Ovis aries: one gene and its partners. The protein of the gene in region 3 purifies or fractionates together with the protein of the main gene of each other region. This does not show direct contact. Links are inferred from orthologs where the notes say so. Each region holds a gene or a part of one and is shown on either strand. Other genes may lie near its edges.

What was found.
Region 1: the proteins of RACK1 (region 3) and LARP4 purify together in Homo sapiens (affinity purification with mass spectrometry; 3 studies listed by BioGRID and IntAct, counting the BioPlex papers as one, with this or other methods). This does not show direct contact. The link is inferred for Ovis aries from reciprocal best matches to the Homo sapiens genes RACK1 and LARP4.
Region 2: the proteins of RACK1 (region 3) and TNRC6C purify together in Homo sapiens (affinity purification with mass spectrometry; 3 studies listed by BioGRID and IntAct, counting the BioPlex papers as one, with this or other methods). This does not show direct contact. The link is inferred for Ovis aries from reciprocal best matches to the Homo sapiens genes RACK1 and TNRC6C.

Annotation. Positions count from the first base shown.
Region 1 is NC_056056.1:135,862,511-135,866,151, forward strand, and holds part of LARP4 (la-related protein 4), read right to left. Parts: coding exon 3,500-3,641; intron 3,322-3,499; coding exon 3,188-3,321; intron 1-3,187. UniProt on the Homo sapiens protein: RNA binding protein that binds to the poly-A tract of mRNA molecules. Associates with the 40S ribosomal subunit and with polysomes. Plays a role in the regulation of mRNA translation.
Region 2 is NC_056064.1:53,493,856-53,498,171, forward strand, and holds the start of TNRC6C (trinucleotide repeat-containing gene 6C protein), read right to left. Parts: upstream 2,931-4,316; 5' UTR 2,796-2,930; intron 2,365-2,795; exon of another isoform or gene 1-2,364. UniProt on the Homo sapiens protein: Plays a role in RNA-mediated gene silencing by micro-RNAs (miRNAs). Required for miRNA-dependent translational repression of complementary mRNAs by argonaute family proteins.
Region 3 is NC_056058.1:38,114,181-38,118,290, reverse strand, and holds the start of RACK1 (small ribosomal subunit protein RACK1), read left to right. Parts: upstream 1-1,229; 5' UTR 1,230-1,295; coding exon 1,296-1,404; intron 1,405-1,644; exon of another isoform or gene 1,645-1,712; intron 1,713-2,570; coding exon 2,571-2,742; intron 2,743-3,035; exon of another isoform or gene 3,036-3,114; intron 3,115-3,275; coding exon 3,276-3,423; intron 3,424-3,682; coding exon 3,683-3,778; intron 3,779-4,043; coding exon 4,044-4,110. UniProt on the Homo sapiens protein: Scaffolding protein involved in the recruitment, assembly and/or regulation of a variety of signaling molecules. Interacts with a wide variety of proteins and plays a role in many cellular processes.

The DNA of each region.
Region 1 (3,641 bases), on a different chromosome or scaffold from region 3:
GAAAATGTAACAAATAAAGGTACTACTACTAAAACAAGCATAAATACCAGGCTATAAATTTTAGCTAAGTCTCACATATGATACTTTTCCAGAAAATTACTTATATGATACAAAATAGATTCTGAATAGCAATGAAATTCAGTGTCAACTAACACAAACTAATTTTCAAAACATTTATATTATCCAACAGATCTGAAAATGACCTCAGGAGGTACATATGCTGTTTATGTATCTGTTCAGAAACTATCACCAAAATCTTCTCACTGTATCAAGACACCCAATAAGACAAGTTACTAGGTTTAAAAAGCCCCCAGATCTCATAATCTTTCCCTTCACAGAGAGGGACTTACAATCGAAGTCCAGGCAAAGGAAGAAAGGATGATAAAAGAAATGTGATAAAAGACGAGAAGGAATGTGACAGAAAGATAAAGTATTAAAGGAAGAAAATTGCCCAGATTTCTGAAAGTTAGTCCTATGATCATCACTGGGCTGTTACAAGGTTAGTATTATAAACTGCTGCTTGACCAATGACTTATATAAAAATAAAGGCTTGGCAGTAGTCACTTCTTAGAAGTAAGATGGAAATCAAGATTTGGGTTTGTAGTCAACAGGCTCTAGTTCATCTCCAACATCTACATTTTTATAAGGAAGTATCTGTGTATTATTTCTGTGACTAAAAATTAGTAACTATCTACGTTGGTCAAATATATGGATAAAACTATACACAAATAGACTTGAGTAACAAGGAAAATCATACTAAATCTGTATCTCCAAAACCACACATACATCTCCTTGTAAGCAAGAATGACTTGACTGTCATTCTTGGGTTTCTTATTGCAAATTTACCTCTTCTGCCAAGAAAGCAAAGCAGATAAAAACATCAAGTGACAATAAAGGAATACCATAAACCCACATAACGTATTTTTAAGGTAAACATCTGCAAACACTTTTTGTTGTTACTGAAAACTGTTTTTAGTCTATCATATAACCAAGATGTCTATTTCATTTAACTGCTTAAAGCAAAATTCACCCCTTCAAAGAAAAGTGAAATCAACAGATACATATTTCTACAAAGTAACTTTCTAATCATAAGAAATCTATCTCCTCATAAGGGAAGTATAAACTGTCATTTGTATTAATGGAATTATTTTCAAGAAAAAAAAAAACTTTACTAGCTATAGTAGAAGAAAAAGAAATATACTAATCTCAGGTTTGCTAATTAATAAAAAGCCATGTAACCCTAGTAAGATAACAATCCCCCTCAACTTTCAGTTTCTTCATCTGTAAAATGAATAAAACGACACTATAACAAAGGTCTTTCCAGACTTAAACATCACTATCTCTATGTGTATATGGTAATTAATTTTTTATTAACAGGATGGAGGTTAGAGGACAGTGTGTGTTTTAAGGCTCATTGAACTTCTACATATATGTCCTAGCAATTACCTGAATTTTGTTCTTATTACTGTATCAAACTAACAGTCATTTATAAGAGCACAAATAATCTTTTGTTTATAATGAATCCTTCATTCTTACAATATGAAGAGTTCTCATTTGAAACTTCATAGAACAATTCACCCAGGGATCGAACCCAGGTCTCCTGCATTGTAGAGACACTTTACCGTCTGAGCCACCAGGGAAGTCTTTATGAATGTGTATATACAGTAAAAATTTCCAAACATTTAAAAGTGACCTTCAGGGAATTCTCTGGTGGTCTCAGTGGTTAGGACTTGGCACTATCAGTGCTATGGGCCCAAGTTCAATACCTGATTGGGGAACTAAGATTCTACAAGCTTCCTAGTGTGAACAACAACAAAGATCTTCCAATGTTTAAACCAAACGTGTCAGTTAAAATTGAGTACAAAATCTATTAGACAGTGGTATATATGAATGCTTCTAGAATCTACTGAGTTTTTTTTTTTTTTTCCAATACTGGAAGGCTTGTTTCTTCAGTGAAGCATGTTTCAGAAAAACCTTATAAAAAAGAATTAAGTTCCTAAAAGCTATTTTGGAAAAACATACCCCACATGTGGTCTCCTTGCCAAAAAGAACCAAGTAAGAGAATTCTCATTCTGGCAAGAAAAAAAAAATTACTGAACAGAAATAACTGAACACAAAAAACAACATAGGAGGCTCACAAGGCAGAGAAATAATACATGTGAACTACTAAATAAATCTAAACAACTAAATAAATCTGAGCCCCTTCTCCTTTGGTTACTTACACTCCAGCAAAACTCATATTATATACCAAATTACTGAGATTACCAGTTGATAATCTCAACTGAGATTCTGGAGTTCTTAACAATTTATTCAGAATACTATGGTTTAGGTGTAGGCTTTGGAATCAAACTGCCTGGACTCAAATCTTGGCTCTGCAAGCTACTGGCTACATGCTTTTGGACATGATATATAACATTTTTATTTCTCAAATTTCTTCTTTTAAATAGACACAATACTGTATCTACAGGGTTATGAAAATTAATAGTGATATAACAAACCAAGGCCTTAAAACAGAACTTTAGACATGACTCAGTAATGAACGGGCTTCCATGGTGGCTCAGACAGTAAAGAATCCACCCACAATGTAGAAGAGCTGGGTTCGATCCCTGGGTTGGGACGATCCCCTGGAGGAGGGCATGGCAACCCACTCCAGTATTCTTGCCTGGAGAATCCCCATGGACAGAGGAGCCTGACGGGCTACAGTCCTTGGGGTTGCAAGGAGTTGGACATGACTGAGTGACTCAGCACAGCATAGTTTGTGGAAATCAAGTCAATCCTTAAAAACGATAAATAACTCACTCTCCCAAGTTTTATTACTCAAACCCGTTAACATTTCTACCATCAAAAAACTCATTCTACAAAACATTATTTAACACATTAAATGGTACCTAGAAACCAGATTTTATATTGTTACCACAAAATTTTTTCTGTTCTCGTTTTTATTAAAAGAAAAAAAAAAAAGTCAATATATACTGGTGTATAATCTCAGTCCCAAATTCTTTTCATATGCATTATCAACTCTGAGGTAAAAGTGTGTTGATTAATTGTTAACATACACTTTTTTTGGGGGGGGGGGGTGTGGGACCTTTTTATTATGTTAGAAAATAAGCATTGCTATTAACATACTGACTGTAAGAACTACCAGAAATTGTGTACAATAAATTCCAGCTATCATATTTTACCTTACCGATTTTTTTGGAATGGTCGACCCATATTTACAGCGGCAGCGGCAGCAGCAGCGGCAGCGGCGGCGGCAGCATTTGTTTTATAAGATCCTGGTGAATTAAAGCCATTCACAAAACTACCATTGGGAAAGGGAGCCTAAAAGAAAATTTTAATGTTTAAATTGATTTGGGGTATTAAATATACTTATCACCATTTAAAGCCTATAAAGTAACCACCATCAATACAAAACAAAATAAAACAAGAACTCTAACTCTGATTTCTTCAAATTTCAGCTTCAGTGAAAAACCATATATTCTCTAAGGATCTCACTTACCAGTGGTGTTTCAAAGTAAGGTGCGGGATTTGGAGACCAAGACTGAGGCACAATACTATAGACAGAGTACTGTTGGTGAGGATTATATACAGGCTGCATAAAGACCGGTGAGGCATACTGTGCTTGAGTTTGAATGGGCTGA
Region 2 (4,316 bases), on a different chromosome or scaffold from region 3:
AAGGTTAAAAAAACAGACCATAAAATATTCTTTAAAATGGCTCTAATTCTCTAAATGTTAGGTTGTTAAAGAAGTTATATGTCACAGACATTCTATGTGCTCAAATCAAATAACAGAGAAATAGATTTTCACTAGTAATCTCTCTCTTAGATTTAAAATTAGCATCACATTCTTGACTCAACCAATAGTAAGTTTACATTCAGGACCTTATCACCCCCATTTGGAGTTTGGGAAGTAATGCAAACACCCATTCTCAGCTAGTACTGTAGGAATTTTATCTTACATTTCTTTCCAACTGAAAGCTCTCTTCACTAAGGAAAAAGGCTGCCCCTCTTCCAGCCCTGACCTCCTCCTCCTCCAGCATGGTTTTGGAAGTGAGCCAGATGACAGCATTTGGAAAAGCACACATTTATCTCAGTAAAGCCGGCTGTTTAACAAAAAGGTGGAGGAGGTGAGAAATACTGTAATTTAAAGTTTCCTATATCCCCCCTACCCATGGTTCAGTTATATTGTAATCACTGGGAGTCAAATGAAACAGTTTGCTCTACTTTCCCTCATAATCAGCACTCTCAGGCAACCATTTGTTCCAAAACTCCTAAGCCAACTAAGGATAAACATAAACCTGTTACAAAATAATCTTTGTCAAAGTGTTACAACATATGCCACTTGAAAAACAGCAACAACAATAAACACTGTAAGGAGGAAAGCCTAAACTCAACACTTACCTGTAACCCAAGTTACTACTAAAATATTTAAATGCTAGAACCAGGACAAAATAGTTAGGATTAAGTCTTATTATTGCCTCAGTATCAACTTTTATTTAATTCCATATCTTAATAGTAAATCAGATGTACAAGACCATAAGGTCTTTGATTTGAACAATAAGTATGAAAGATAAGAACAGGGCTTTTCAAAGTAGATCCACATAATAACATCAGGTCTGAACATATACATACATGAATACACACATACATACATACACACACACATATATCTGGGACTCGTAGCCTTTCTACTTCTTCACACAGTACTAGCGCTAGCTTGAAGAAATTATTCTACATCACCATAAGTATAATTTAACTGAAACAATACTTTTACTATCACCACTTTCTGGACTATCAATTTCTATTGATCCAATGTGAGAAAGACAAAAAGATTCTAAAACCTCTATTCCTATGAAAACACAAATATTAAAAACTTTCTGTAGGAGAAAACTCAGTATCGGTGAACGAAGTAATAACTAATCAGATAATTATCATCTGTTTACCACCAACAATAAAATTAATTCGGATAATATAACTGGGCTAGTTGTTCTTAAAACCTCATTTTGCATCACTTCTCCCAACAAAGCATCCTTAGGTGTGCCACACTGAAAGGTGTTCAAAGACCTTCACCACTTCCGTGATTCTGGAATAAATTTCTTCAAGTTGCCCTCTGCCAACCAAGTTCATCTGGTCTGGAGCTAAGTTTTATCCTTTATTCTTTCACATACTATTGAAGGAAGTATGGAGTCCATGCACAGAATGGTTGCAACCCCTACACATTTCAAACTGGCCACCGCTGTTTTCTAAGATCACCCAAGCCACATTTTCAGTGTCTCAACTCATCCCCATAGTTACACAATTCTAAATGTAGGAAATAACTTGCATAAAATAATCCTCCTGCGGGGTCAAATTACACTCAGAGACATAGCAGTCTCTACACAGCCATCATCAAACTGACCACCTACACCGCAGGACACCGCGGTGAACACCGGATTCAGGAGAAAACATGAGCCTCAGCAACACAATGGATTAAACCAGCCAGACGCCTGCAACTTGCAACTAACTCCTTAAATACGCTTAAGTTGGACATCTACAGAGCACCATTTTGAGTTCAGAATCTGCAGTTCACGCCTAAACACAACCGAGCAGACCACTCAAATGGAGGTTTGATCTGACAGAGGTAGAGGTTCGAGACAGTTGCACTCATTTCGCTGAATCCCTGAGACAGTCGAGAGCCCAACACCGCTAGAGCTGCGGCCGGGATCTGCGGCTCCTCCGCCCCCGCCCCGCGATATGGAGGCAGCAATCCTGCATCTTCCGTGAGATTCCCAAAACTGCGTGTAACCTGCAAGCGAAAGATTCTCCACCGAGTTAACGCGCAGGGAACCCCTGGATCCACATCTGCACATTTAACAGACACGAATCCATTAACGAATCTCATCCACGAGAAAACGGTGCAGACGAGGCGACGCACGAGCGGAGGTGGCCCCCGAGGCGCTTCGGTTCCGCGCTCCCAGAGCTGGGCAGCTGCGGTTCGGCTCCCGTCCCTCGTGCGCATCGCCCGGCAGCCTGCAGCGCCGCGAGCAGCCCACCTGATTCCAGATCCGCGGGAGGCCGAGGGGCCCCTCCATGCTAGCAGAAGCACGCCCGCGCTTGCTCTGACCACCCCCCCCCCCTCCAAACAACGGCGGGAGAGGCCCCACACCGAAAACGCCCGGGTTCGTGCATGCCATCAGAAATGCAAAACCCGCGCGGGTGACTGCTCCCGGAGAACCAATTCCACCAAAGCATCGTTTTACGCACACCACTCACGCAATTGCCGTGCGGATCGCACCGGGCACCGCGAGCCTCTCGCCCCGCGCGCGCCCGCACCCGGGCCCCGCGCAGCCAGCAGTTCCTCCCGCCGCCCCGCGCTGCGCATCCTTCCCGCCGGGACCCGCGGCGACCCCTCGCGCTCCGGGCCCAGCCGAACAAAGGCGACGCCAACAGCTCCGCCGGCTGCGGCGACTCGGAGGCCCGGCCCGCGCTCACCTGGGCTCCGTCCCCGGCGGCGGCGGCGGCTCCTCGGAGGGGCTCCCGCGACGCGGGCCTGGCGACGGCGGCAAAGACCACTCCGGCGGCCGCCCTGAGGCCTGCGGGGCGCTCGGGCGGTGGGGGCCCGCTCAGCGCCGGCGCCGCGGGCTCAACTCCCGGCGCGGGCGGCGGCGGCGGCGGCGGCGCGGGCGGGTGGGCGGCGGCGCGTCCCGGCGGGTCCAGGTCCGGCCCCGGCGACGCCGCGACGCGCCCTCCTCCTCGCGCCCGCAGGCGGGACGGCGGCTCCGGCGCGGCCCGCGATCCGAGGCGGCGGCGGCTGACCTCGGCGCTCTGCGCTCGGCCGGCTCCGCTCTCTCCGCCTCCGGCTCGGGCGGGCCCGCGGCGGCGGCTGCGGCGGGAGCGCGGCGGGCGCGGGGACGGCCCTGTCAGGGGCGGTGGGGGCGGCCGGGGCGACGCTCAGGGCTGCGGGGCGGCGGGGCCGGCGGCGGCGGCTGCGGCTCCAGGGGCCGTCGCGCTGAGGTGCGGAGCTGCCACCGCGGCCATCTTGTTGCTCTAACTGACAAGAACCCCCCTCCCCCCGCTTCAGCCAGACGGGGCGCTCGCGCCCCCTTCCCCGCCCCGCCTTGGCCTCCAACAGGAAGTCGTCCCGGCCCCTGGCACGTGACTCCACCGTATCTGCATACCGGAGGGCCAACTGGCCAATCGGCGCTCTGAATACGAGCTCCGCCCCCGCGCGCCCCTCCACGGCCCATTGGCTAGTTCCAGCCAAGCCACACCCCCTTCTCCCCTCCCCTTAATACCCGCCCGAGCTGTCTTTCCACAGACCGCGCGGGGAGCGCGCCAGGGTGCGATCGGGTACGCGCTCCGCGTTGTCGGGCGCGGGCGCGTGCGAGTCCCTGGGGCTCGCGGTCTCCCTGGGGTGCGTGGAAACTCACGCGGCTTGCTTCCTCGTCTGAGGGTGCTGCGACTTCGCATTAGCGAGCTCAGCCGCGAGGTGAGGGCCCGGCCGTGCGCGTCCGCTTGGTTCCCCCAGCCGGCCCCCCGCGGCACCCTAGCCAGGGTTTTGCGCGGTATTTTCACTCGGCGGCGCTGGCCTTGTATTGCAGCAGAGCTCGGCGGCCGTACTGGCGCGCGTCCCGCCCGCGCCGTGCACACGCCCTGCACCTCCCCACCGTGCACACACACGTACACGCGCCGGCCTGGGCCCGGGAGCATCCTGCTCACTGCGCGCCTCCCAGGCGTCCTCCACTGCGCAACCGCTCCCCCGGGAGCGCCCTGCTGCGAGCCAAACAAGCCTCACTGTGTAACCGCCCCCGGGAGACATCCCCTTCCCGGGAGCGCGAGTATTCTGACCCCACCGGGCAAACTGCTGTTGGGCCGAACCCCGGACGCTCGGGCTCCCGTACCCCACGGTTCCTTCCCGGCGCTCTGCACCCGATAGCGGTCCTCCATTCCGCCGCTCTTCCCATACACACTAGTCATTAATCGTGGGTAAGATCAGGAGTGATGTGCGATTTA
Region 3 (4,110 bases):
CCTCTGTCAACTGCCACCCCCACCCCCATTGCATTGGTTTGGTCCCCAGGGCCTTCAACGCTCCAGCTCTGAACTTTGGCACTGATTCTTTCCTCGGATTGGAACATCCACCCATAAATCCCGAAAGATCTCTCCTATATCTTTCTTTGCTAAAAATCTCCCCCTTGAGCTCTTTTCCCCCATCTCATTGGATGTAAACTCAAAAAACAAAGAAACAGGTCCCTTTTAACCTGTTCACAGCTATGTTCCCAAGACCTAAAATTGCGTCTGGTAACCAAGAGGTGCTCACTAAGTTCTGTGCATTTGCTTTGCCAGGGGTCTCTCTGGGTGTTTTACCTATCTAATATACTCTCCACACCGTGTGAGGTAGGTACTATTATTCCCAATCTCATTTCATGAGAAAATAATACACGTGACAAACAGAAAAGAAATACTTGGGCACGTCTAGACACCCAGACCCAAGGACCTTTTTATGAGGTGGTTTTGCCCGAGCCAACCTTCCTCTTGAAGCCTTTCAGTTTCTGCGAGAGCTCTCCACGCTCCTGCTTAGGCGGGAGCGGGGTTTATTGTCCAGCAGCCCACAGACTAACTTATCCTTCATTCCCGGTTTTCCTCTCTGTAACCCATTCCTGCCTTAGTCCTGGGTGGACTGTCTTTCTTCACCCAACACCATTAGTGAATAAACCTCTTGAGGGAAGAGTCGCCGCCCGCGCATGGAATTTGTTAGGGTTTAACAGTTCACCTGAACGCAGCTTACTTTGAAATTTTAATATAGTATTATTCACATCGCCCACCGTTACTCACAATTGTGCCCATGAAATTAAGCTCCCTCTGCGATGCCCTCCGAGCCACCAAGCGGAAAGGGAGGGGTTCAGACTGTGCCACGTAAGGCCAGTGAAGCCACTAGGCTCCCCTTACTAAGCTCTGGGGCGTGTACTTCCTCTCTGACGCTTTTGAGACATCATTCCCCTACCATAAGGAGCCTTTTTAAATACTCAGTCATGTTGGTTTAATAAGGGAATTTGTACGGTGCTACCAAATTACGTTGTACGACGGTCTGGACCAGAAGTCTTCTTTTATCTCTCCCTTTGAACTACATGGCGCTGCCACCTTGAGCAGAAGTGAATTATGGGAGGGCGCCATTTCGTTCGAGAGGGCGGGTATTTCCGGATCCGGCGTGGGCGGTTCTCTCTTTTCCTCTGCAGGGCCGCGGTGGAAGCGGTTGTGCGGGTCGCCTCTCTGAGTTATCCAGTTCCATCCTTGTCGCTCCGGCGACACCCGCACTCTCCGTCGCCATGACTGAACAGATGACCCTTCGTGGCACCCTCAAGGGCCACAACGGCTGGGTGACCCAGATCGCTACCACTCCCCAGTTCCCGGACATGATATTGTCCGCCTCTCGAGGTACGGGCTGAGGTGCTGGATTAAGGGGCAGGGGTCGTTGCGCGCGTCACATGGTTGGGCCGGTGGGCTGTGAGTTGACCTGTGCCTAGGCCTCATCGCGGATGAACCGGTGATGCGTCCCCGACTTGGCGAGCCCCGAAACAGCTGGCTGCCGGGAGGGTTGCAAGGCTGGGGCCTTTCTAATCGCTACCTCTCAAACCCGTGTATGTATCTGTGGGCCCAGGAGCCTTCGGGTCGGGCGGCGCCGTGATGATCCCAACATGCCATCTGAGTGCCTATGCTGAAACCCAGAGGCTGTTTCTGAGCTGCTGCCCGGACCCTCTGCTCATTAAAAAGTGGACTCCAAGGCGGACCTCGTGTCTAGTCTCTCGGCTATTTCGGGGCAGCCCTTTCTTCCCCCTTTTTTTTTCCTTCTCATTCTCTCTGTACCTGACTGCATTTGGAGACTTCTTGGCGATTGCTTTTGCGTTCACGCTATTTAAAAATAGTTCATCTGAGGCTACAATCATGTATGGCACTTACTAGGAAAGTTTATTCAGTGGAACACATTGCAGTGAAAGCATCCAGTCCTTAGCGCCTAAAGTGGATTTTCTATTGCTAGTATTTCTTGCATCCTTTAGCAGTAGTTTCAGGAGGCCCACAGCTACTCTTCCATATCCAGCCTGCTGTGTGCATGCATTCTGGAAGTGAAGTCACTCAGTCGTCTCCGACTTTTTGCAGCCCCATGGACTGTAGCCTACCAGGCTCCTCAGTTCTTGGGATTTTCCCAAGCAAGGGTACTGTAGTGGGTTGCCATTTCCTTCTCCAGGAGATCTTCCCTACCCAGGGATTCAACCCAGGTCTCCTGCATTGCAGGCAAATGCTTTACCATCTGAGCTACTAGGGAAGCCCAATAAATAGATGTGGAATCGTTTTAGATTTTCGAAAGGGGCATCCATAACCTGGTAAAGTTTCACACACCTGAGTTAAATTCTCAGGGTGCAACTTAGCTCTGCTTGACTCTTGACTAAAGTTACTTGGACTTGGCTAATAACTACTCTCAGCCTTTAGGTAGTTTCCCTACCCCTAAATGCCCTTGGTTTATGATCCAGAAGGTCAGATGGTGAGCCGTGGGGTTTTTTCACTGGGTCTTTTTTTTTGTTTGTTTTGTTTTAACCTGCCCTTAGATAAGACCATCATTATGTGGAAGCTGACCAGAGATGAGACCAACTATGGTATCCCACAGCGTGCTCTTCGGGGTCACTCCCACTTTGTTAGTGATGTGGTCATTTCCTCAGATGGCCAGTTTGCCCTCTCAGGCTCCTGGGATGGAACCCTTCGCCTTTGGGATCTCACAACGCAAGTAGCTGCTCTGGGGCACTGGGGGAAAGCTGGGTAGAAAGCAGGTAGATACCATCAGGTTTCCCAGGGTAGTGATTGGGTACTTGAGTGGGAACTGTAAGGCACAGTACCTGGAGAAGATATTTGTGGTGGTTCGGCCTCCCTCCCCGTTGCTTTTAATTAGATACACAGAATTGCTGAAGAGTGGTCTGTTTTAGCAGTTTTATCAGATACTGCACTTGGGACTAGACAACATGTTTGAACATACTGTATATTGGGAGCTCAGTCTTGGGTGGTCAGGCATAATGGAGGATCCTGGTGATGACAGATGACATTGTCAGCCAATCCCCACATGGGAGTGAGGACATGTCCTGCAATTCTGAAGGGATTCTCTGGCATATTCTCGGCCAAGGGCCTGCCGTTTATCAAAGCCATGTCCAGGGTGGTGTGGGTAACGCAGCTCCATTGGGTGAGGAATTGGGCCAGGGAAACAGCCTGACTGGAAGAATGTTTGCAGTCTTTCTAGAGAGTAACCAAGTCCTCCTTCTCAGGGGCACCACCACTCGCCGATTTGTAGGCCATACCAAAGATGTGCTGAGTGTGGCCTTCTCTTCTGACAACCGGCAAATTGTCTCTGGCTCCCGAGACAAAACCATCAAACTATGGAATACTCTGGGTGTATGCAAATATACTGTCCAGGTAAAGTAAAGGCACATGCAGGGAGCATATGTTGAACATTTCCCCCATCCTTCTTAACTGGTGCTTTTATATGGTGATTTTAAGCCTCGTCTGGAACCTAAAGGGATTCTATCTTATCTTAAAGGTTTGGGTTCTGGAAGTGTGAATACAGGTTGTCAACATACTGAATATATATCCCACATAACTGAGCGGGGAGGGTGGGGTCTCGAGTTTCATAAGACGAGACAGTTTCTCCTTATTTCCTTTCCATCCTCTGCAGGATGAAAGCCATTCAGAGTGGGTGTCTTGTGTCCGCTTCTCGCCCAACAGCAGCAATCCCATTATTGTTTCCTGTGGCTGGGACAAGCTGGTCAAGGTGAGCTTGGAGCCAGGGCGTGAGGCCTTTACCAACCAGAATGTGTTCCCACTACCTCCCAGTTGGTCATAATCAACTTTGAATCAGCTTTGTCCCTTAACTGACCGTAAGTGGCCAAGATTAATAATTCTTGGACTTTTTTGTCACTGATAGAATGGAAATTGGCTCTCCTATCCAGGGATGCCTTTTAAGCATGGTGCCATGCCTTTTTTTGACCTTGATAGATCCAGAGCCCAGGTTCTTCACCTTTGACCCACAATTTTAGGTATGGAACTTGGCAAATTGTAAGCTGAAGACCAATCACATCGGCCACACAGGCTACCTGAACACTG